Linked DNA regions of Arabidopsis thaliana. The protein of the gene in region 2 interacts with the protein of the main gene of each other region in a pairwise test. Each region holds a gene or a part of one and is shown on either strand. Other genes may lie near its edges. The genes, in order: HAM4, AT3G10590, AT2G02060 and AT1G07050.

Region 1 (5,334 bases), on a different chromosome or scaffold from region 2:
AAACCTTTGGCAGTGGGACAATTTTGGTAACGAGAGGATCCATTGGTCGATCAGTAAAAGAATATTGTCAGAGTGGGAATATAAGATATGATCGTCATTCATTTGTTTTTAATATACAATCACGTGTGTTAATAAATAGAACTTGTATTAATTACCAACATTATTTATGAAATATTCTTTTCTTTTTCGACAAACTCCAATCATGTGTAGGGAAGATATTGCCATATTTGGAGACGTTAGTGTATATGCAGAATAATTATCATTCATAAATTGTATTGCATATAATTAAAACGTTCGTTACCCAATATCAGATGGATTTAAATAAAATAGTTGTACACATAGGGCCATCATTTTTTCAGGGAATTAGCTGTATGAACGAGAATCAAAAGTGATAGTGTAATGATTTTCAAGCTAACAAGACGTAACATTTTGGTGGTCTGTGGACGAAATAATTTCTGAGCATAATGAAAACATTGGTCTAATACTGGCATTTTATTATTATTATTATTATTTTATTATTTGTTTAAAATACTGGCAATTCAATCTAACAAAAAAAAGGCAACTAATTTGGCGAGTGATTTCAGTTCGATAAATCATTGATTATTTTTCTTGCATGTTCCACATATATAAACTATAATATTATGGTATTTTATGTATGATCCTCGAAAATAAACTAACTAGTTGTTAAGCATGAGATTAGGATACAAGTGGATCCCATTGCATGTAGGCGTTCATACGGTGGAATATTAAACTTGATTATTTCTCTTAAATTTTTAAAACATAACAGAAATGTGGGCTTAATCATTAATTTAATGAGAAACAACTAAAAAAAGTTGCCACAAAAAGAACTTTTAGTATTTTAGTGTGTTAATTGAGCCGCTATACCGCATAAAATCTAAATTATATAACACAGATGAAGACTTATGTAAGAAAAAAAGTTGAATTATGTTAGGAAAAAGGTGTATTAATGAGAGGAACCTTTTCTCCACGATATTAAAGGTTGAATAATGTCTCAATGAGAAGAAGCTTTTCTTCACGAGAACTATATGATGTTTAAATTTCGCAAACTAGGCCATATTTTGCGAAAATGGTGAGTTATTAACCTAATATGATCAAACATTCCTAATTACACAAGGAAAAAAAAAAGAGAGTATATTCAAAAGATTGAGGAAATGGTTTTGCATTCTGGTACACCAAACCAAATAGAAAAGAAAGAAAACAAAAAAGGAAGGTAAATTTCCATGAAAATGAAAGCAATAAGTGAAGGAGAGAACATATTCTTTCTTTTTCCTTTGCGAGTTAGAGAGAAGAGTGGGGGGCTAAGCAAAAGAAAGAAGTGGGCGTGATTCTTACGCGCTGACTTAATGATCAGTCAATCTCTGGCCCATGGGCTTCTCGGTCATTTTCTCCGACATTATTACCTCAAAAGTTAGCCCATTGTGGACCCGCTTACTTTCCCCCTGCTTTTTACCGTGTTATGTGGGCTCCACATAAAGCCCAGTGGTCACTCCCTTTTTCCTTTCCTTTGTTTTTTGTCGCAAGCAGCGGGGATTAGTGTCCGTTAAACATCATCGACTCAAATTGTTTCATGCAATTTTCCCCTTTTTTATTGGTTATCAATCGAATAAACCTCTCTAGCTTTTGTAACTAGTTTGAGATTATTATGTGATATATGCACGGTACTAAATAAATACATAATATTGTATTTTGTGTGGTACTAACAACTAGGTTTAGTGAGAATAAAAACGACGTTGTAGAGTTTGTTTAGTAAGAATATTTTTGTCCAACACAAACTACTTTTAAAAAAAAATTCCAAACGTTGATATACCTATTGCCTATTGGAATAATCAACGCAGATTCATAGTTTTTTATTTATCTCCATACTTGGGTCAAAAACGTATGAGATTTAATGATCGAAAACAATATCCACAAATATGAAATATTTTAACGCTGATCTCAAACTCAGGTACAACATAGTTACATATAGCCGTGCTGCTATGTTTGAGAAAGATTATTTTTGATCACTTAAATTGTCATATGTAATAAAAAAAAACTTTCAGTTAAATGTTTTTGTAAAATACTGTTTAAAATTTTAGGATGAAAAAGACTGAAAAAAAACCACTCAGACAAAAAAAAGAGAGAAATCATTAACCTTTTTAAAACATCCTTTTTCTCTTTTATTTTCAACTTTCACATTCTTGATGATCAACATAGTGGAGCTTGGATCTCTTTTCAATCAAATGATTTATTTTTATTTTTAAAGCAGAGGAACTTTATTTGTATTTTATCCCTTTAAAGAGCTGTAGAAGTTTCCTTTTCATTAGCTACAGAAGTTGCTAGTTGTGCATAGTATATAGTTTTGGAGATATATTATGAGAAATTAATACAAAATAAAAACTGATTTAAAATCTTTCAGTTGAATTTCATGTGAAATAGTATGTTATTAATAAAAAACGGAATCATATACAAATCATTGTCAATCAGATTGTTTCGTGTATAAATATTATTCTGTAAAACCAAACAAACCCGGATCAGACACGGTTACCAAAGTTGAAATCTCTTTATTTGCACGCACTCACTCAAAGATAAAAAGCTTACCACTCTCACCTTTCAAAAGCCCCGCCACCTTCTTCTTCTCCCACACACAAAGAAAAAAGACAGAAAGAAAAAAACTTTTTTTCTTTTCGTTAAAGGCTCCACCTTTCTTTCTTCTTAACACACAACACATGAAAATCCCTGCATCATCTCCTCAAGACACGACCAACAACAACAACAACACTAATAGTACTGATAGTAATCACTTATCAATGGACGAACATGTCATGCGTTCAATGGATTGGGATTCCATCATGAAAGAATTGGAGCTTGATGACGATTCTGCTCCTAACTCACTTAAAACCGGTTTCACCACAACCACAACAGATTCTACTATTTTGCCTCTTTACGCCGTCGATTCAAATCTCCCTGGCTTTCCCGATCAGATTCAACCGTCGGATTTCGAATCGTCTTCCGATGTTTATCCTGGTCAGAACCAAACAACTGGGTACGGTTTTAATTCTCTTGATAGTGTCGACAATGGAGGATTTGATTTCATTGAAGATCTCATCCGAGTCGTGGATTGTGTTGAATCGGACGAGTTACAACTCGCTCAGGTGGTTTTATCACGGCTTAATCAACGCTTGAGATCTCCGGCGGGTAGACCGTTACAGAGAGCTGCGTTTTACTTTAAGGAAGCTCTCGGTTCGTTTTTAACCGGATCAAACCGGAATCCAATCCGGTTATCTTCTTGGTCCGAGATTGTTCAGAGGATCCGAGCGATTAAGGAATATTCCGGGATTTCTCCGATCCCTCTCTTCTCTCATTTCACGGCGAATCAAGCGATACTCGATTCGTTGAGCTCGCAGTCGTCTTCTCCGTTTGTTCACGTGGTGGATTTTGAGATTGGATTCGGTGGCCAATACGCATCGCTTATGAGAGAAATCACTGAGAAATCTGTAAGCGGTGGATTTTTAAGAGTTACGGCAGTGGTGGCGGAGGAGTGCGCCGTAGAGACGCGACTAGTGAAAGAAAACCTAACTCAATTCGCGGCGGAGATGAAAATTCGTTTCCAGATTGAGTTTGTGCTGATGAAGACTTTTGAGATGTTATCTTTCAAAGCGATTAGGTTTGTTGAGGGGGAGAGGACCGTCGTTTTGATTTCCCCGGCGATATTTCGTCGTCTAAGTGGAATCACTGATTTTGTTAACAATTTACGGAGAGTATCACCTAAGGTCGTTGTATTCGTGGATAGTGAAGGATGGACGGAGATCGCCGGATCTGGATCATTCCGGCGAGAGTTTGTTAGCGCTCTTGAGTTCTACACGATGGTGCTGGAGTCGCTCGACGCTGCAGCTCCTCCCGGAGATTTGGTGAAGAAGATAGTGGAAGCGTTCGTTCTACGACCGAAGATCTCCGCTGCGGTAGAAACGGCGGCTGACAGGAGACACACCGGCGAAATGACTTGGCGGGAAGCGTTTTGCGCCGCCGGGATGAGGCCGATACAGCTAAGCCAGTTCGCCGACTTTCAAGCTGAGTGTTTATTGGAGAAAGCGCAAGTTAGAGGATTCCACGTGGCGAAACGACAAGGAGAATTGGTGCTGTGCTGGCATGGAAGAGCACTTGTTGCCACATCAGCTTGGCGGTTTTAGATAAACCGGGTTTGGTTTAACAATATGATATAGAATAGAATAATTGTATTTACCGCCTTTAATATCTCTTTTCTTTTTGCTGTTTATCTTTCAAATAAAGAAATAAAAATATTTCTTACGAAGAGTCTCTGTATGAGCTAGAGTCTTTTAATGATTCATAATCTCCTCTATTCAAAACACAAGTGACCTTTTTTTTGCGAGTGTGCGAGTTCGTCGTCAATTTGGTAAAACCGTCGTACGAATCGCCGATGAGCGGGTTTGCTTCACAGATTCCATCCATGGCGCTTCTTGGATCTGGACTCACCGGCGAGGTAATCTTCCTTTAGTTTGATTGATGTTTCCGATTGTACGGCTTTTGTTCCGATCCGTGATTTGGGGATTCGTGATAAAGTTTATGATTAAATATGTATATTTAGGATTCCTTCATCTTCTGCCTTGTTGGAATTCAGATTTCTTCTGTACTGGATTGTTTTTTTGTTTGGATTACTCTTTGACAAAAGCCGATTAGAGAAAGAGGTGTTTCAATTCCTGATCATGTGGATATTCTCAACTTTTGGATTGAGAGAAACAATTGTTTTTCTCAATGGAATTTTCAGGTTGGGTTGCGTGTATTGTTCTCTCCACTTAGTTCCAATATCGTACTTCGTACAGCATGGTGAGTTTTTTTTATTGTAAGGTGAAGAAAGCCATATAGTTGCTAGAATCAATGGTACAGGTAGACGAATGAATTGGAGGAATGATTTGATTGGTGAGATTGTGATCTGATTGAGTGATTCTCATTACATGTGAAGCAATGGGGTAGGGAGGGAGTTTTTTTTTTTTTTTTTTTTTTTGTTGACATAGTTATTAACTTAGCCGAGTGGACAAGGGTTCTATTCTACTTGTTGTGATACTTTAGGGTATCTTTTGGACAAGGGTCAATCTATTGTTGGGGAATCTGGATTCTTTTTGTTTTATCCGAGTTTTTGGTTATTTTCTCTATTAGAAGGTGTTATAGCTGTAGTTGACTAAAGGATTCGGTTATAAAGGACACGTTTGTGTGGTATGTCTGAAACTTGTTTCCTGCAGCTGCTCCATTGGCATCGGTTTGCCTGTGTACTCTACCTTCAAGGCAATTGAGAGTGGAGATGAGAATGAACAACAAAAG
Region 2 (4,398 bases):
CGTAATAGGCTTCCGGGTACTTGGGTAATGCATACTTACCCGATTCGATCAGCACAACATCATAGACCAATATTGCGTCGTAGTAGTACTTCACCTCCTCCAAAGGTTTCTGTAGAAACTCGGCAATGTACTCCAAAAAATACGGCGAGCCCTCAGGGAATATCACCAGGGCTAACTCAAAACGCTTGTCATTGTCTCTCGTCCACGGCGGAATCAAAGCCATAATATCCAAGAAAATGAAGAAAAATAGTTTGTGGAATCTGTCAGTCTGTGTCTGTCACTGAAGAGGGTTTGTTGTTCCTTTAATTATTTTTTGAGAACCTGAGAATTTTATAGAGGTGATTTCGCCGGATAAACTAATAAGAAAAACTACAAATTTAGCCCTCAATATATAATGTCATTGAGATTTTTCGTTTCATATTAGATTTATAATGAGAAATAATAAGGAAAAATGTAAAATTAACCCTCCTCTTTGCTTTATTTAATAAAAGAAACCCGAGTTATTTTATTTCGTTCTTAACCACCATATTATATATATCAAACTCAGAACTCAGAAGCTGTCTTTCTTTTTATTAAACGTGTTTATACGTCTGTTTAATTATCACAGAAAAAAATAAAATAAAAAGATGAAAACTTTCAGTACAAGAAAGAGTTCTAAGTACGTATGACTGACTTCTTTATGAATTTTCTTTCTTTTAAACGTGTTTACGCGCGGCCTTTATCACAGAAATAAATATTCTATTTTTTTTGAATTTAAAGAAAGAAAGAAAAGATTACTTTTCAGTTCAAGAAAGAATTCAAAGTATATATCTTCTTATAAAATTTTGGTCTTATTATGCTTCCAAGTTCCATGTAAATTAAATATACTGAAAGACAAACGGTTTGACTAAATATTGATCATTTAATTAGTGATCATATTCACTTACTTTATATATAATATAATATCTTGGCTTTTTTAATGTTTTGAAACTATTTAAAATAAAAACTAACATATACTTGATAGAATCATTAATTATCCTATACACTTGAACATCATCAAGTGAAACTGATATTTTTGTATACCGAAACTACGTAGCAATCCTATACATATGCAGAAAACAAGCGAAGTTCCTTTTTTATTATATTAAATCTATATATATATATATATATATTATCTATTTTTGAGTTCAAGTTCCGTTGCTTGTTTCATTTCACACCATTCTTCTATCTTCCAACATCTAAACTCCAAGACAAGTGCCTTGACCTTGGGACGGATCATCATCATCCGGAGGGTTCTGATTTCCAGAATCTGGATTGCCCTCGGTAGACTCCAAAGTTATGTCAAAAATACTCCGGCGTTTCTCCTTCTTATTGTCCGATTTTTGCCTTTTGTAATACTGTGCATGGCTTGACACTTGCCGTGGAGTCTTTGTCTTCACAAAATTCGTTGATGTCAACGTCGAAGCTCCTTCCCCATACTTTTTCAATCCTTGCAGAAACAATCTGAAATATATCATTAAACAATCAAAATCATAAGAATTAATAACCTAGATATTATCATAATCAGCATCATCATGTTAAAATTAATATAAATCAAATTGATAATTACATCTATCTGAAGAAAAATACTTGTATACGTTACCCTAATCAACAAAACCCAAACTAATCATTTTTTGTGAGATTTGAACTGTTAACTTATACTTTTCCTCAAGATTTAAGACTTTTCCTCAATCAAAAGAAACCCTAATTCATAAGTATTTGATGACTAACCTGTGTTCCTCTTCTGTCCAAGGATTTGGCGTATCCTTCTTCCTGCGTTTGGACTGACTCGATTCCGCCAGTGGTACGTACTCGGGCATCTGATTAACATCGTTGGCCATCTTTTCGTACATGTACTTCATCTCCTCCATTTCCATAGGTTTCTGCAGATGCTGGGTGACATTCTCTAAAGGTTTCGGCAGATAAACATCGTTGACCAACTTTTCGTAGTAGTACTTCACCTCCTCCAAAGGTTTCGGCAGATGCTGGGCGACATTCACCAAACGCTTGTTATCCGGAGGGAATTGCGACAGAGCTGACTTAAAACGCCTGTTGTCGTCCTCCGTCCAGCGTGGACTCGAAGCCATAGTATCCGAGAAAATGAGAAAAAAAAAAAGAGATGGCTAAAAATTCAAGAAACAAGAAGATCGTTTTGTGGAATATGTTACGGAAGAGCGATTGTTTGTTCGTTTTAATTTTGGCAACCTGACAATTTATAGAGGATCAAGTAATGGGTGAAAATTACAAAATTAGCCCTCACTTTACAAAAAGAAACACGATTTCGTATTTAAACACGCACAACTTGACTCAGAAGTTTTCTTCTCGTTTACGTTTAGACGTACGCAGTGGGTAAAACTTGGAGTGTAATTTCAAGTTATTTTAGTTTCCTATTTAACCCCAACTTTATATATACTACGTACTTAACTTGAAAGCTCCATCTTACGTGTATCTTCTGTTTAGCCTAGATGAAATAAAGCAAAAAATAAAAACATTGAAATATATATTATTTTAATGGTTAAAGAAAATAATATAGATGACCACAAAATTAAATAAAATATGGTTTGCCAAAAAAATGGAAATCCCAAATCTTTAACATACCACACAAAAAAAATAATCAAGGGCCTTCAATATCTTTAGGCTTTTTATTTTTTGGTTGTTAATACAGTCATAGAGATTTATATCACTTTGAGTTGGGGGCCTTAGCATGGTGACCGATTTCCAGAGCGACGAGACTCTCTTGTTGGCCTGTTGAGTCCACATTGGTGTTATTTGCTCCCTGCCGTTTCATCACATTCACATCGGTGCTTGCCACATTTAAGTCGTTAATCACATTTTTCTTTGAGCTTTGCCACTGGTAAAAGTTTTCTGCATATATCTCGACTTGGATCGGGCTCTTGCAATCCAATAAGACGGCTATTTTACGCCAATCTTTCCCAAATCGGTCTAACCCAATCAGAAACCATCTGCATTACAATTTCCACCAGTTCATAGATCAGCCCATTTTAATCAAGTTTCACCATGGCATTATTAGTTAACGATATAAATTGAGTCAAATGAAAAAAAAAAAAAAACTATATTGTCCACATTAAAAAAATAATGCTAGAATGTGTAAATCGTAAGATCATAGGACTAAATACATTTTAATCTCAGAAATGAACTATGTGAATTATGGAGTCTAAGAGGAGAATGCGTCTAGCTAGATCCACAAACCAATACCAGTACTAATCAATCATTATGTTTATAATTGAAACTTATACGTGTATGTAAATTCCACTAACTAACAAAAATCATAACTCATCACTCATTAATCTTATATACTTACTCATGTGTTTCTTTGGTCCATATAGTTCTCTCGGCCTGGTACGAACTTTGAGCCATATCCTTAGTCAATTCATTAGGAAAAGCTACTCGACTGGATCCCATCTCTAAAAGATCATTGACCAATTCCTTGTAATGCTCCTTAACATCATCCACCGATCTATCCACATACTCGGCGACACTCTCAAACCGAGTAAGCAAAAAGGCAGTGAACATCACCAGTGCATCCTTGAACATCTCGTTCTCCTCTGTCGTCCATGAATTTTCAGCCATGATTCCCAAAACAAATTAAGGAAAATGAAGTCTACAAAACAGAATGGTGTGAATCTGGAGAACTACAGTATATATAATAACTCATGTAAGGGATATGGCAGCTTATAAATCAACTCAAGTAACAAAAAATATATGGCTTCTCTTCTCTCAAATTGGGGTGTATTAAGTTTCCTTCCTTTTTCTTATATTCAAAGGGTAAATTTTATTTCAGATTTTGCTATATTGCATACAAAGTCTTTATTTTATTTCTTTCTACTGATTTATTGTCATTCATTTAGTTTCCTATATCCTTTTTATTAAATTTGTTTTATAATATTGACGATTTTAGCCAATTAGATTATGATACGTGTACAAATAAATTTTTATTTTCACACGTGTTAGCAATCAGAATTATGATACGTGTTACAGCCAATTAGATTATAACACGTGTATAAACAAATTTATGTTTTCACACGTGTTAAAAATTAAAAATTTAACATACAAAAGATTATAGACCTAATACCACACAAATAAAATAAATAGTCAAAACTTTAGAAATTAAGAACTTTCATTAACATGAAAGAAACAAAAAATTGTTTATTTTTTCAAACTCTCTTCACACGAAAAGGAAAATAATCAATCATAATTATTCACCAAGTTGTGAATATTGCGACGGATTGCAACGATCCCGGTTACTGGTTGGTCACTCTGATACTTAAAAGAGTAACATTTTTATCCATGTTCGTTGGTTGCATTCGTTAAACAAACAAGTTGTGATTATTATCGACCATTGTCCAAGGAAAAATAAGC
Region 3 (6,445 bases), on a different chromosome or scaffold from region 2:
AGCATTTTTGGTAAATCTCATCCGTAGTTGCTTCAGAAAAGAGGACTTGTTGATTCTAGAGATTAGTAGTTTAAAAGGGTTTGTGCCTTTGTTTCTGCTTTTAGTTGTTGGGTTCGACCTCTTTCGATTTAGGTTTACAAATCTCTGTTTTGTGTTTTCATTAATTACGTTTTCCTTCGGCTTTGACTCCGGAAACATTTATGTCGTTCGCCGGTTTTAGTTTTCCTTTTTTGGGGGTTGTATTCTACCTTGGTTGCACAACAAGTTTATCAATAAAATTTCATATGAAAAAAAAAAAAAAAAATTGCAAAAGTTACGCTTTTGAAAGAAAAAGAAAAAAAAAAGGAATAAAAGAGGTTATGCTAAGAAAACATATCAAATCTAATTCCAATCCTTAAGGATGAAAAGTCAAGAGTTGTTTGGTCCTACTTCCAATAATTATGCACTCACACTACTCTAAACCTTTTCACATAACCATGCAATGTCTATATCTATCCATGTGTACATTGTTGTATATTATATTCTCTGTCTTGTAATTTATATATTAGTTGTGTAATTTTTTTGGTGGCCCAACCATTCCCAAATCAAACTTTTAAACAACTCTCTTTCACTTTTGTTTAATGTTATTTTAGGTGTGAAAAGGCTAATTCTTCTCTGTTCTCTCTAGGTGTTTCATGGATTACACCTTTTATATTACTTTAACCATCTTAGAATTTGCCTTGTTCTTGCATGTGCTATGATTGAATTCAATCAATGGGTGATGAGAAAATTGACCCAATAGAATAATAAATTAACATTGATAATCGTCGAATGGTTCGGTGAGATTTGCACATCCAAATTTTCCACACACAAAAAAGAATGTTATGTTTTTTATAGTCCAAAATCCAGTTGGGTTACATTATCTTACATGTATGTACAAAGTTTTATAATATTAATAAAAAAACAAGCAAAGAGAATTATTGAATGTTTTGATTGTGGTAAAAGCCATGAATCATGGACCTCCACAGTCAATTACTCATTCAATTTCTCTTGGAGCTATTTGTCTCTGCCAGACTCATTTAATGTATTATTTTCATTTGCTTCCACTTTCTCTCATACATGTATTAGTACTAACCATTTTGATTTTTGAGACTTGAACTCTCGGTTAGACATTTTATCCATCCATGCAATTGTGTTTATCGATCAATGATCATCAGTAGGATAATAAAAGGCTTTATTAGTGAATATAGTAAAATTGTTTCACTGATAAAACCTTTTGGAATGTGTTTACTTGATTATTTTGATCAATGATCATAACCTAGGTAGCTTTTTGTATTATTCTTCTAGTCAATATATAGGTAATATAAGCAACTCGTGTGTCTTTGACAAGCTGGTGACTGAATATTATATTTTAATTACCGTCTAATCAAACACTAAACCATTTTTAAAATCGTTAAAGCGAATTTTGGCATATATGCAGAGAATTCCACGTTTTTATAATAATTTAGAGAATGTGCATAAATGAGAAGAAAATGCAAAGCACAATAGGCTACATTTTAAAGGTCAATGACCTCACTTTGTGTGTAGATTTTATTATTTGATTGTTTTTTTCGTTGGGTATAGAAATGTCTGATTTATGTGTGGAATAAAGACGACGACTTTGTTAAATTATAAATTATTAAATTTTGTTCTCTTAATTAATACTCAATCGGCTTTTTCTTATTTTTTTATTATTATGGCTGATACCACGTAAACCACGAGTAAGTATGTAGTACAAATCAATTACTTTCTAATACTACATAAAAATTATATACTAGTACTTAATTTCTTACAAGAAATACATACATCATTTAAAAACAGTATTTGATGTTAATATAAGTAGTTAATAGTAGAATAGCTGATAAAATAACGTGATTTATGTCCACAATTCGTTGATTAAAATATTGAATCCATGGTTGGAAAAAACTGGCGAAATCAGTAATTATTGTCGGCTACCATATAGGGACATGATGGTTTTGGTTCGTCTTCCATGTACACCAAATCAGCAATGAGAAAAAGAAAAATGGGGAAAATAAATAATTCTTGTTATAAATATTATCCTAAGATTTATTATCACTTATTATGGGAGTGAAAAAGAAAACAATAAGAAGGAAAATGAATGGGAAATGGGAGAAAATGTAAAGGAATTAGGGGAATGAAGTCAAAACGGTGGTCCAAAAGACATAACGAAGGACCATTGTAAAATTGTGTGATTTATTTGAAATCAGAAAGTTTAACACGAAACCCTAAAAAAACAAAACAAAAAACAAAAATAGGAATAATAATTATGCTATATGGTCAAAGCTAAGCAGTTGGGCTATTTTCATTTAAATTTATTCGTTTTGGTCTAAAACCTATCGTGAAAAAAGTGAGAAAGTAAAGTTTGAGGTACTGTGGAGGAAACTTCTTCATTTGGGTAAATCCCAAATCCCTATAAGGTAAATATTATGTGTTCTTACAAAATTTGGTTTTTCTATGACAAGTATATTCTTTTGACCAGCTAAGCTAACAAATGTATGTTCAATTGGTTATATATCGATCGGGGCAAGGGTAATACTCGAATCTATGTTCTTTTCATGCAAGTTATGTATGTAGCCTTGTGTAGTTCTCTGGTACGTTGATATGCAATGATTCTCTCGAAAACTATTTAAAAAAATTATTTAAGATAATAATGAATGGGGTCACGAGTCAAGACTAATGTAACCAAAGTCAAATGGATTTTCGTATGATTACTACTTTTGTAACCAAAGTCAAATGGATTTTCGTATGATTACTACAAGCTTGTAGGTCAAAAAACACATGTCACCTCTCTGTTTAGTATAATAAACCAATTTTATAACATCATTCTTTTTATTTGCTAGTTTAATCGTCTAAATAAGTGACCCAACCATAAACCATATCAGATTATGAAATTTTGACTTTACGATAGTTTACGTATCCTCAAATTCCTCACGTATATGTCATGAACAATTCTTAAACAACAAAATTATAACTCTCTTTTAATTAATGTAGTTTTTTCGTAAGAACTCAAATTGATATTTAACAAAAAAAATGAATGAAACATTTCTCAAGTTTTAATAATTATTTTTTGGAATTTTGCAAAACATATATAGAGAGATAATAATAAGTATGAATGAATCCAAAAAGAGACAAAAAGAATAGATGGAAAAAGAGACAGTCATCTTTAAGAAAGAAGCCAAAAACAAAAACTTGCTCTTTTAATCCCAACCCACACACCTCTCAAATCCTCCTCTCCTCGTTTCTCTTTCTCTCCTCTTCACAGAACCAAAACATATCAAACCTTTTTTTCTCTTGGGTTTAAGTAAAAATCGAATCTTTGTGTCGGTTTTTAGGGTTCTTGAAACGATATGGGTAAGTCTAGTGGTAGAAATGGTAACGGAAGCTTTAACGGCAATAAATTTCACGGAGTTAGACCTTACGTACGGTCTCCAGTTCCACGGCTTAGATGGACGCCGGATCTTCACCGTTGTTTCGTTCACGCCGTCGAGATTCTCGGTGGTCAACACCGTAAGTTTATTATACTTTTTTTCTCTTCAAATCTTTTGTGAAAAAAACCAAACTTTTGTGTGTTTGTTTGCTTCAAACATCCTAAAGTTACGATATAACTAGAAAAATTGGACTTTTCTCATTCTTTTGTCTCAATCATCGTAAAAAATCAGTTTTTGAATAAAATCTTCACACTTTTGTTACTTTGTTTCATTCTTATCTTCAAAGTTTGGATTTTTATGCTAAAAAAAAGGTTTGAAGTTTCCTTATTGTGTTGTTTATCTTCATCATCGTAATGAATCATCTTTGTCAAGTTACCGAGTCAAAACCTTCACGCTTTTGTTGTTTTGTTTCATTCATAAAGTTTGAGTTTTTGTTTTTTTTCATAAAGAATCATCATAGTCACCTTTTTGATATTTTGTTGGGTTTGATGAAACAGGAGCAACACCAAAACTTGTTCTTAAGATGATGGATGTGAAGGGACTTACCATTTCACATGTCAAAAGCCACCTTCAGGTAAATAGTAATTAATTTTACCAAAAACATCAATTTTGTTTTCTTCTTTATTCATATTTCATTCATAACACCTTGTTTTGATTGTTTTGAACATATATATAAACAGATGTATAGAGGAGGTTCAAAGCTCACTTTGGAGAAACCAGGTATTATTTTTTTCCTTATAATTATGAAATGAATCAATGATGATATTTGGAAAAAGAATGGGACCGTTGATTTTAATTTGAACTGTTAACATCAAACACATAATAATGGATGGAATTTAATTATTTTACTGTATCTGTTTGTAGTATGTACTATTGGTCTAGTGTCATGATTCATAAGACAAATGTCATAAATACATTTATATATTTTTCAAGAGTAATAGAACAGAAAATAAGAGAATATTCATTAACTAGTTTTTATTGTTTCTTACACAGAAGAAAGCTCATCATCTTCAATAAGAAGAAGACAAGACAGTGAAGAAGATTATTATCTTCATGACAACTTGTCTTTACACACAAGGAATGATTGTCTTTTGGGTTTTCACTCTTTTCCTCTTTCTTCACATTCTTCATTTAGGTATTTATTTTTATTTATAATTGTTTTCTGACAAAGTTTTTTAATTTTATTTCAGTAAAAAAAAAAAAAAAGTGTTTTGCTTTTTTGTTTGTCTGTATTTGAATTGTCCTTTTACTTTGGTGCAGAGGAGGAGGAGGAGGAAGAACAAAAGAGCAGCAGACTTCAGAGTCTGGTGGTTATGATGATGATGCTGACTTTCTTCACATCAAGAAGATGAACGATACGACGACGTTTTTGTCACATCATTTCCCCAAGGTATAAATAAATTTCTCTTTTGTCAACCGGTTTGGAAATTTAATGTTGCAAAACAAAATCAAGTCCGGTTATGAGTTCTAACCGGTCTGATTGAGACTGGTCAAATCCAAAGGGATTGAGTCCGGTTTAAGTACTACTTGTCATTGAATCTAATTAGTTTCATATAAATGGCATTTAACCGGTTTTAGTCCGGTTTGGTAACTAATTTTGTCTTTTGGTTCATTAGGGAACAGAGGAGTGGCGGGAACAAGAACACGAAGAAGAAGAAGAAGATTTGTCGTTGTCTCTGTCGTTAAATCATCATCATTGGAGAAGCAATGGATCATCGGTGGTGAGCGAAACGAGTGAAGCAGCAGTCTCGACTTGTTCAGCACCATTCGTATCCAAAGATTGCTTTGGTTCTTCAAAGATTGATCTTAATCTGTCAATTTCTCTCCTCGGTAGCTAAATAAGTTATGCAAGATTTAGGTTCAGAGAAACTATTCGGATGTGTTTTTGAAACTAGGATATTGAATGTTAGTAGAGAAACCTAGAAAATGAAGTTTAGATAAATTATCAACGCAGCGTTTTGATCGCCTTTGAACGGAAAATTAACAAACAGAGCCAAACGCAGTGTTTTGATCTTTGAAGGATAACCCCTAAACGCAGCGTTTCTATATCAAGATCCTACGGTTTAGAATGTTCATTGTTATTTTGGTCGGCAATCCTACGGTAGAAAAAATAATCTCGCAGATAAAACCCATTAAACGCTGCGTTTCATCGTTGGAGGGTAAACTCATTAAACGCCGCGTTTTACATTCAAAAAACTTGAAACTACCTTATAACCGCCCAGACGATGACCAACGTCGTCAACGTCGGCGAAGATGAATCTATCGAACCGTTTTGGCTCCAATTCCAAGACGGCGATACTCAACGATTCTTACTCCGACGAGAATCATTCTTCCTCCGCCGCCGCCGCCGTAACTTCCGTCGTAATCCCACCGTGCTCCGGCAATGTACTCCGAGCCGTTCTCTTGCTCTTCTTCATCTGCTTCTGCTTCTCCCTCTACAGAACTTCTGGTTATCTCCGAATCGTCTCTGACTCTTCCTCCACCCTCTCTCGCATTTTCCCCTCTGTCAACGATTCTTCTTCGTCTCCGTCTCCATCTCCGTCTCTGTCTCCGGTGAGTATTCTTCTTCTTCCACATTGTTTCTATATATTTGGTGTTTATTCATAAATCCGATCTTCGACTTCATTAGACTTCGATTCTAGGGATTTGATTTGGTAATCGAAATTGAAATTGGTTCGATTTTGATTCTGATTCTGGTTTTGGTTTCTTAGGAGGAAATTGAGGAACCTAAGCTAGAAGAAGTATTGCGTAGAGCAGCAACTAAAGATGGTACAGTGATTTTGACAACTTTGAATGAAGCTTGGGCGGCTCCAGGATCTGTGATTGATCTTTTCTTTGAGAGTTTTAGAATTGGTAAAGGAACAAGAAGGCTATTGAAACACTTGGTGATCATTGCTTTGGATGCTAAAGCTTATTCACGTTGTCAAGAACTGCATAAGCATTGCTTCAGACTTGAAACAGAAGGTGTTGATTTCTCT
Region 4 (5,039 bases), on a different chromosome or scaffold from region 2:
TGGTTAGGGGTTTCACATTCAGAATGGACCAAATTTGCAGTCCAATCTATGGAAAATGGATTCCCTTCCATTGCAGGAAAGGTAAATTACTCTTCCTTCTGTAGTATATGATCTCGTTGCTTTTGGGAATGGTTGGAGAAATTCACATAAGAGGAATGGTTAGAGATTCTGTACATGTTTCTTGGAAAGTGAGTTTACTTTGTAATTGTGTTAACAAGTTCATGCTTGTATGATCGGAATTGTTGCTTTACCAATTTATTCAATTTTTTGGATACATAGCAATTTGTTATTTGTTACATTTTTCTGTTCCCACATGGAAGTACAGATCAGATAGGTTCTTTGCTTCTTTTGATTTTGACTTGTTCTTACTATGAGGTATGACATTTTGATGAGTTTTTACGTAGGCGTCTGAAAATGCCCTGTTGAGCCTTAAGAAGGATAGTCTTATTGAACCAAAATCAGAAGATAATTCTGACATTTTGGATGCTGCTGAGAAAGTAAGGAGACTAAGGGATTCAGCTGCCTCGTTAACATCTTCACATTCAGGTATTTTCATTTATATCGTGTCTTCTTTAAAGTTTGCTGTTTGTAACAGACTTCTGACTACATTTTGATTGCTTTCTTCGTCTCTATCTAAAGTATTGGTCTTAAATTACTCGTTTTATTCCCACCGTTCAATGCCTTCAATGTAGTGTGACTGTTATGTATGGGAGAATCCATTGAGTTTGATAGAATCTTGGAAATCTACTGGTTGGAAAGATTGATGATTTATAAACTGACTCTACCAACTATTGTTTGGATCCATCATAAAGGATATAAAACTGACTCGACCAATTTTAACAGAGTGTCTGTTAGAATGTATCTGATTGGTCTGAGTAATTTTCGAATCACAAACAGTTCAGGCACAAGGTGCAGGGTACTTGAGAAGCAAGGAACACAGAATACAATCCAGACAGACTCTACCCACTAAAAATCCAGACTGCACAGGTAGCAATCTGTTCAGAGAAGGAATCAAGAAGCGTAACGAAAGAATGTTGCAAGATCTCCGTAGTATTCGGATGAATCGAAATCTAGAACCAGATGTGCGCTGTGTTTGAACTTTGATGCAACTGATGCTACAAACTTTGCTGCTTCATGTTCATTGAAAAACAGGTCAGCTTTCGCTAACATTACAACTTAGATGTTACTGAAGATCATTTTTTTTTCTCATAGAAGAATAGAAGAAGCTTAACCTCATTGATGCCTTTTATGAGCAAAATCCAAATCATTTCACCAGACACATTTCCCATAAAGATTGTTTCTGTTTTAGCTTTTGGTTATCAAAATTCGAAATTTTACCACATCAGTATCACCACCTTCTGAAAAGTTTCCATTCAGTTTTTTTCTTGAAAAGTACGAAAACTAGTTTTTGTTCTTACGTTTGCATTATGAAAATAGCAAAAGGTTAATCAATTTGTATTATTAAACAACTCTATAAATTTGAAAATCAAAATGTTATTTTCAAAATTGTCTAAACTTCAACCGTTCAAAATCTAATAAATAGATTGCCACATAATTTCTCTTTTTAGTAGTATATATCATGTGGCTCATGTCTATGCTATCACAAGTAGACAATTGTTTTCTGAGATATTTTCTTTGTAATTGTTAAACCAAGATATGTCATCATCATCTTCCTATTTTTAGTTTTGGTCAACTTGTGTTTTCTTTTCCTTCTAATCATTTTTGTGATTTACAATGCATATTCAATGTATACAAATCTTGTAATTCAACATGTGTTAATGTGTAATTAATTATAAAATATATAATTAGCGGTATAGATACATTTTCTTTTAAGGATATAAAAAAAAGTTATATACTTTTCTTATTTTATCATGTCTATGTAATATGTGTCAAAGTGTCAAATTTTAATAGCTGTCATTTGCTAATTTTCTACATATTCATCTATTGGTGGAAACATACCTATTATCATTTCCTTCCATCACAACTTTTTTTATCATGTATATAAATATCTAACAGATTTTTCACTCCATCTAATGTGTCGAATAACAAATTCTTACATCAAGAAGAAGAGGAGTGAAAGGCCGAGATACAGATCGAAACATAGATATCACTTACCAATTGATAATTGGGTGACGCCTCTGTTTCAGTTTAGATTTCGGCTTCCCATTCCTCTTCATCAAGATGTAAGAATCTTATTCTCTTCTTAACTTAAGATACTTTGAATACAAGAAAATGAATTCTGAAGAAGAACAGGGAAATTTTATACTGTTATAGCTCTTTCCTAGCCCCAATGACGCTAGGACTCGGCTATTAGTATAAAGATGAAAAAAGTGGCTAAATGGTCTCTGGTTAGAGGCAAAGGACCAGTAAGAGAGGTCCCTCAAATTGGGTCCAAGCTGGACTCTCTAAACCAATCAGCTTGAGATTATTCCATCACTTTTGGGATAAGATGCCACATCGTATCAGTTACATCACATATTAAAGTATTAAAGAAACACCTTGCTCTCTAAATATTGTATTTGTATCTATATATAGTTTTCGTATGGTGACGGATTTACAAAGAAAAAAAAAATATTGGAGTGAAGGGAAAACAAAACAGAGAAAAAGATAAGAGATATATGGATACACAAAGGTTGCCGAAGAAAGAAGAAGAAGAAGAAGAAGATCATCTACTTTCTTCAACCTTCGAGTCCATCAATGGTCACTCTCGAGACCAACACAATCATTCTATAGATGATTTCGAGAGCATTTTCGACATCACCATTGACAATTTAAGCTGCTCTAACGAACTCACGTGGGATTTCTGGGAAGAAGACGAAGATGAAGATGTAGGGGAAGAAGAAAAAAGATCGAGTACTGATCAAGAAGGCTCAAGTTTTGGGTTTTGGGAGAATAAGCCGACGGATTATGAAGACAAAGACTTGGGTCTGAAGCTGAATCTGAACCATCAAGAAGTTATCGATGCTTGGTCTGATCACCAGAAACCTCTGTGGACAGATACTTCAACTCTGGACAATTCCGTTTATGTTAGTTTTTATGAATCTCTTTCTTGTTGTGCAAGTTATGAGTAGTGATTAATCTTGATTAGTCAATATTAATGATTTAGAGTGTATGCAGAGGGGAGAAGTGCCAGTGATAGAGGAGAAGAGAAACATGCGAAGAGAAGCAAGTGTGTTAAGGTACAAAGAGAAAAGACAGAGTAGGCTCTTCTCTAAGAAGATAAGGTACCAAGTCCGAAAACTCAACGCAGATAAACGACCTCGTTTTAAGGTCTCTTTCTTATTCCTTCTTCTTTCTACACTCTAGCCTTTACTCATTTAGTTTCATGACACCAATTAATATTGTGAGGCCTAACTTTATATTTCTCTTGCAATGGAAATCTTTTGAATTATTTGTAGGGTCGGTTCGTGAAAAGAGAGACTTAAAAGGGGCAAAAATATCTGGAGAAAAATATCTCCAACCTTTGTTGTGTCTATTTTCTGTTATTATTATTCGTAGTTTTGAGATATCATTATCGACTTTTACAACTTTTGTCATATTGAAATGAAAATATCTTATTGACATAAAAAAGAAAAGAGATGCAAAAATATCTTTAAGATTACATGAAGAGGAGCGAACGTATATGGCAAGTCTTTGTCGAATTGGTGGGGTCTTAAGGCTAAAAAAGGGTTCACCACATGTGTATGAATCGAAATCTACTCATCCGCTGTCGGGACCAAACTACATATCAACTACCACGTTTTTCTCATATGAATATTCAAAGCTACCGTAAATTTTTATAAAATTACGTCATTAGCATAAGAATGTATGTACATATTAATGACTATTATAAACCCTAAGGCACGGATACCTTATCCTTCCACCACCGAATTTCACGGATTCCATATCCTTTCACCGGACTAGACGAATATGAAGCTAAGATATTAATAGATTGGTGACCAAATTTGAATCTTTTCGGATAAAACTTGTTTGGCATACTTTCCCTTAGAGTCAATTATTCTTCAAACAATGTTTAACTTAAATCTCAAGATCTTATGTAGTTAATGGTAGATATCGTACAGTTTTTTTCGTGTTTGTCTTTTGATCGTGTGTAAAGTGTTGGAAAATCTAACTTTGTATATAAGTTCTACACCTCCAAATTAACGTTCGAGCTTATCGGTATTACTGCTAGTGCTTTCTCAAATTCCTTTTTAGATCATATAGTAGCCCACTAGGAAACCTTACACCAAAACGCCCAAATAATATGAAAAGCCCATCATATTGTCCATCCAAAGTAGGACAATTGCTGAAAAAGCCCAACGAATCAAACCTGCATTGTTACCTTGCACTTGGAAAATGAATTAAACGGCGACGCACCTATGGATGGAGACTAAGTTCACTCATCAAAAATCTAATTTCAACTCTAATTATCGTATTTAAGGTCATTGGAGATTCAACTCTTGTACCTGTAGTTTCTTCTTCTGAAAATCAGCAACAAACTACAAATCATCCAATGATAGAATTTCAGCTTTAATTATCAAACAAATTAAAGATAACCCCATTGATAATATCGCCACGTCTCATCGGATGAAATAGTACTATCTGACACGACACGAATCTCTTATGAGAGAAACAGAAGAGCACGGAATCTCCATAAATCAAAATACATGATCGGAGCTTTCTCACTATCAAAAGCTTTCCGGCGACAAAACCAACCATCTCCTCCTTATCTCCACCATGATCTCACTCCACTCATCAGCCATTAAAGCCTCTCTCTACGGCTCTTTCCCTTCTTCGTTACGATCAACACTCTCTGTTTCCTTCTCTGCTGGATCTCTTATTCGGCTTCCTTCCGTCGGCAAGCGCAATCTCTCCGTCGTCGTTTCCTCTGGAAGAGACTCCTCGATGTCATCAAACAATGTTTCTCGCGGATCGTCTTCAAAGGTTCGTCCTTTTGTATATTTCTTGTATGGTGTATATACCCTCGATTGATTTAGGTCATGAAAGATCTGAAAACTCTGTTCTTGTCAATTGTTGATGTTTTGATTCTTTGGCATGTG

What was found.
Region 1: the proteins of AT3G10590 (region 2) and HAM4 interact in a two-hybrid assay, tested with the Arabidopsis thaliana proteins (one large-scale study listed by BioGRID).
Region 3: the proteins of AT3G10590 (region 2) and AT2G02060 interact in a two-hybrid assay, tested with the Arabidopsis thaliana proteins (one large-scale study listed by BioGRID).
Region 4: the proteins of AT3G10590 (region 2) and AT1G07050 interact in a two-hybrid assay, tested with the Arabidopsis thaliana proteins (one large-scale study listed by BioGRID).

What each region holds. Positions count from the first base shown.
Region 1 is NC_003075.7:17,303,334-17,308,667, forward strand, and holds HAM4 (GRAS family transcription factor), read left to right. Parts: upstream 1-2,424; 5' UTR 2,425-2,726; coding exon 2,727-4,187; 3' UTR 4,188-4,315; downstream 4,316-5,334. Other genes in the region: HVA22K (HVA22-like protein K), read left to right, coding at 4,436-4,498, 4,784-4,842, 5,256-5,334.
Region 2 is NC_003074.8:3,309,207-3,313,604, forward strand, and holds AT3G10590 (Duplicated homeodomain-like superfamily protein), read right to left. Parts: upstream 2,122-4,398; 5' UTR 2,106-2,121; coding exon 1,750-2,105; intron 1,483-1,749; coding exon 1,218-1,482; 3' UTR 1,002-1,217; downstream 1-1,001. Other genes in the region: AT3G10585 (Homeodomain-like superfamily protein), read right to left, coding at 1-223; AT3G10595 (Duplicated homeodomain-like superfamily protein), read right to left, coding at 2,699-2,981, 3,341-3,609.
Region 3 is NC_003071.7:492,305-498,749, forward strand, and holds AT2G02060 (Homeodomain-like superfamily protein), read left to right. Parts: upstream 1-2,440; 5' UTR 2,441-2,456; intron 2,457-3,076; exon of another isoform or gene 3,077-3,371; 5' UTR 3,372-3,386; coding exon 3,387-3,546; intron 3,547-3,740; exon of another isoform or gene 3,741-3,778; intron 3,779-3,964; coding exon 3,965-4,041; intron 4,042-4,147; coding exon 4,148-4,187; intron 4,188-4,460; coding exon 4,461-4,602; intron 4,603-4,727; coding exon 4,728-4,857; intron 4,858-5,083; coding exon 5,084-5,305; 3' UTR 5,306-5,474; downstream 5,475-6,445. Other genes in the region: AT2G02061 (Nucleotide-diphospho-sugar transferase family protein), read left to right, coding at 5,721-6,020, 6,179-6,445.
Region 4 is NC_003070.9:2,162,713-2,167,751, reverse strand, and holds AT1G07050 (CCT motif family protein), read left to right. Parts: upstream 1-2,490; 5' UTR 2,491-2,618; coding exon 2,619-3,026; intron 3,027-3,117; coding exon 3,118-3,306; 3' UTR 3,307-3,398; coding exon of another isoform or gene 3,399-3,425; 3' UTR 3,426-4,177; downstream 4,178-5,039. Other genes in the region: DFO (uncharacterized protein), read left to right, coding at 1-81, 405-546, 898-1,097; AT1G07040 (plant/protein), read left to right, coding at 4,717-4,923.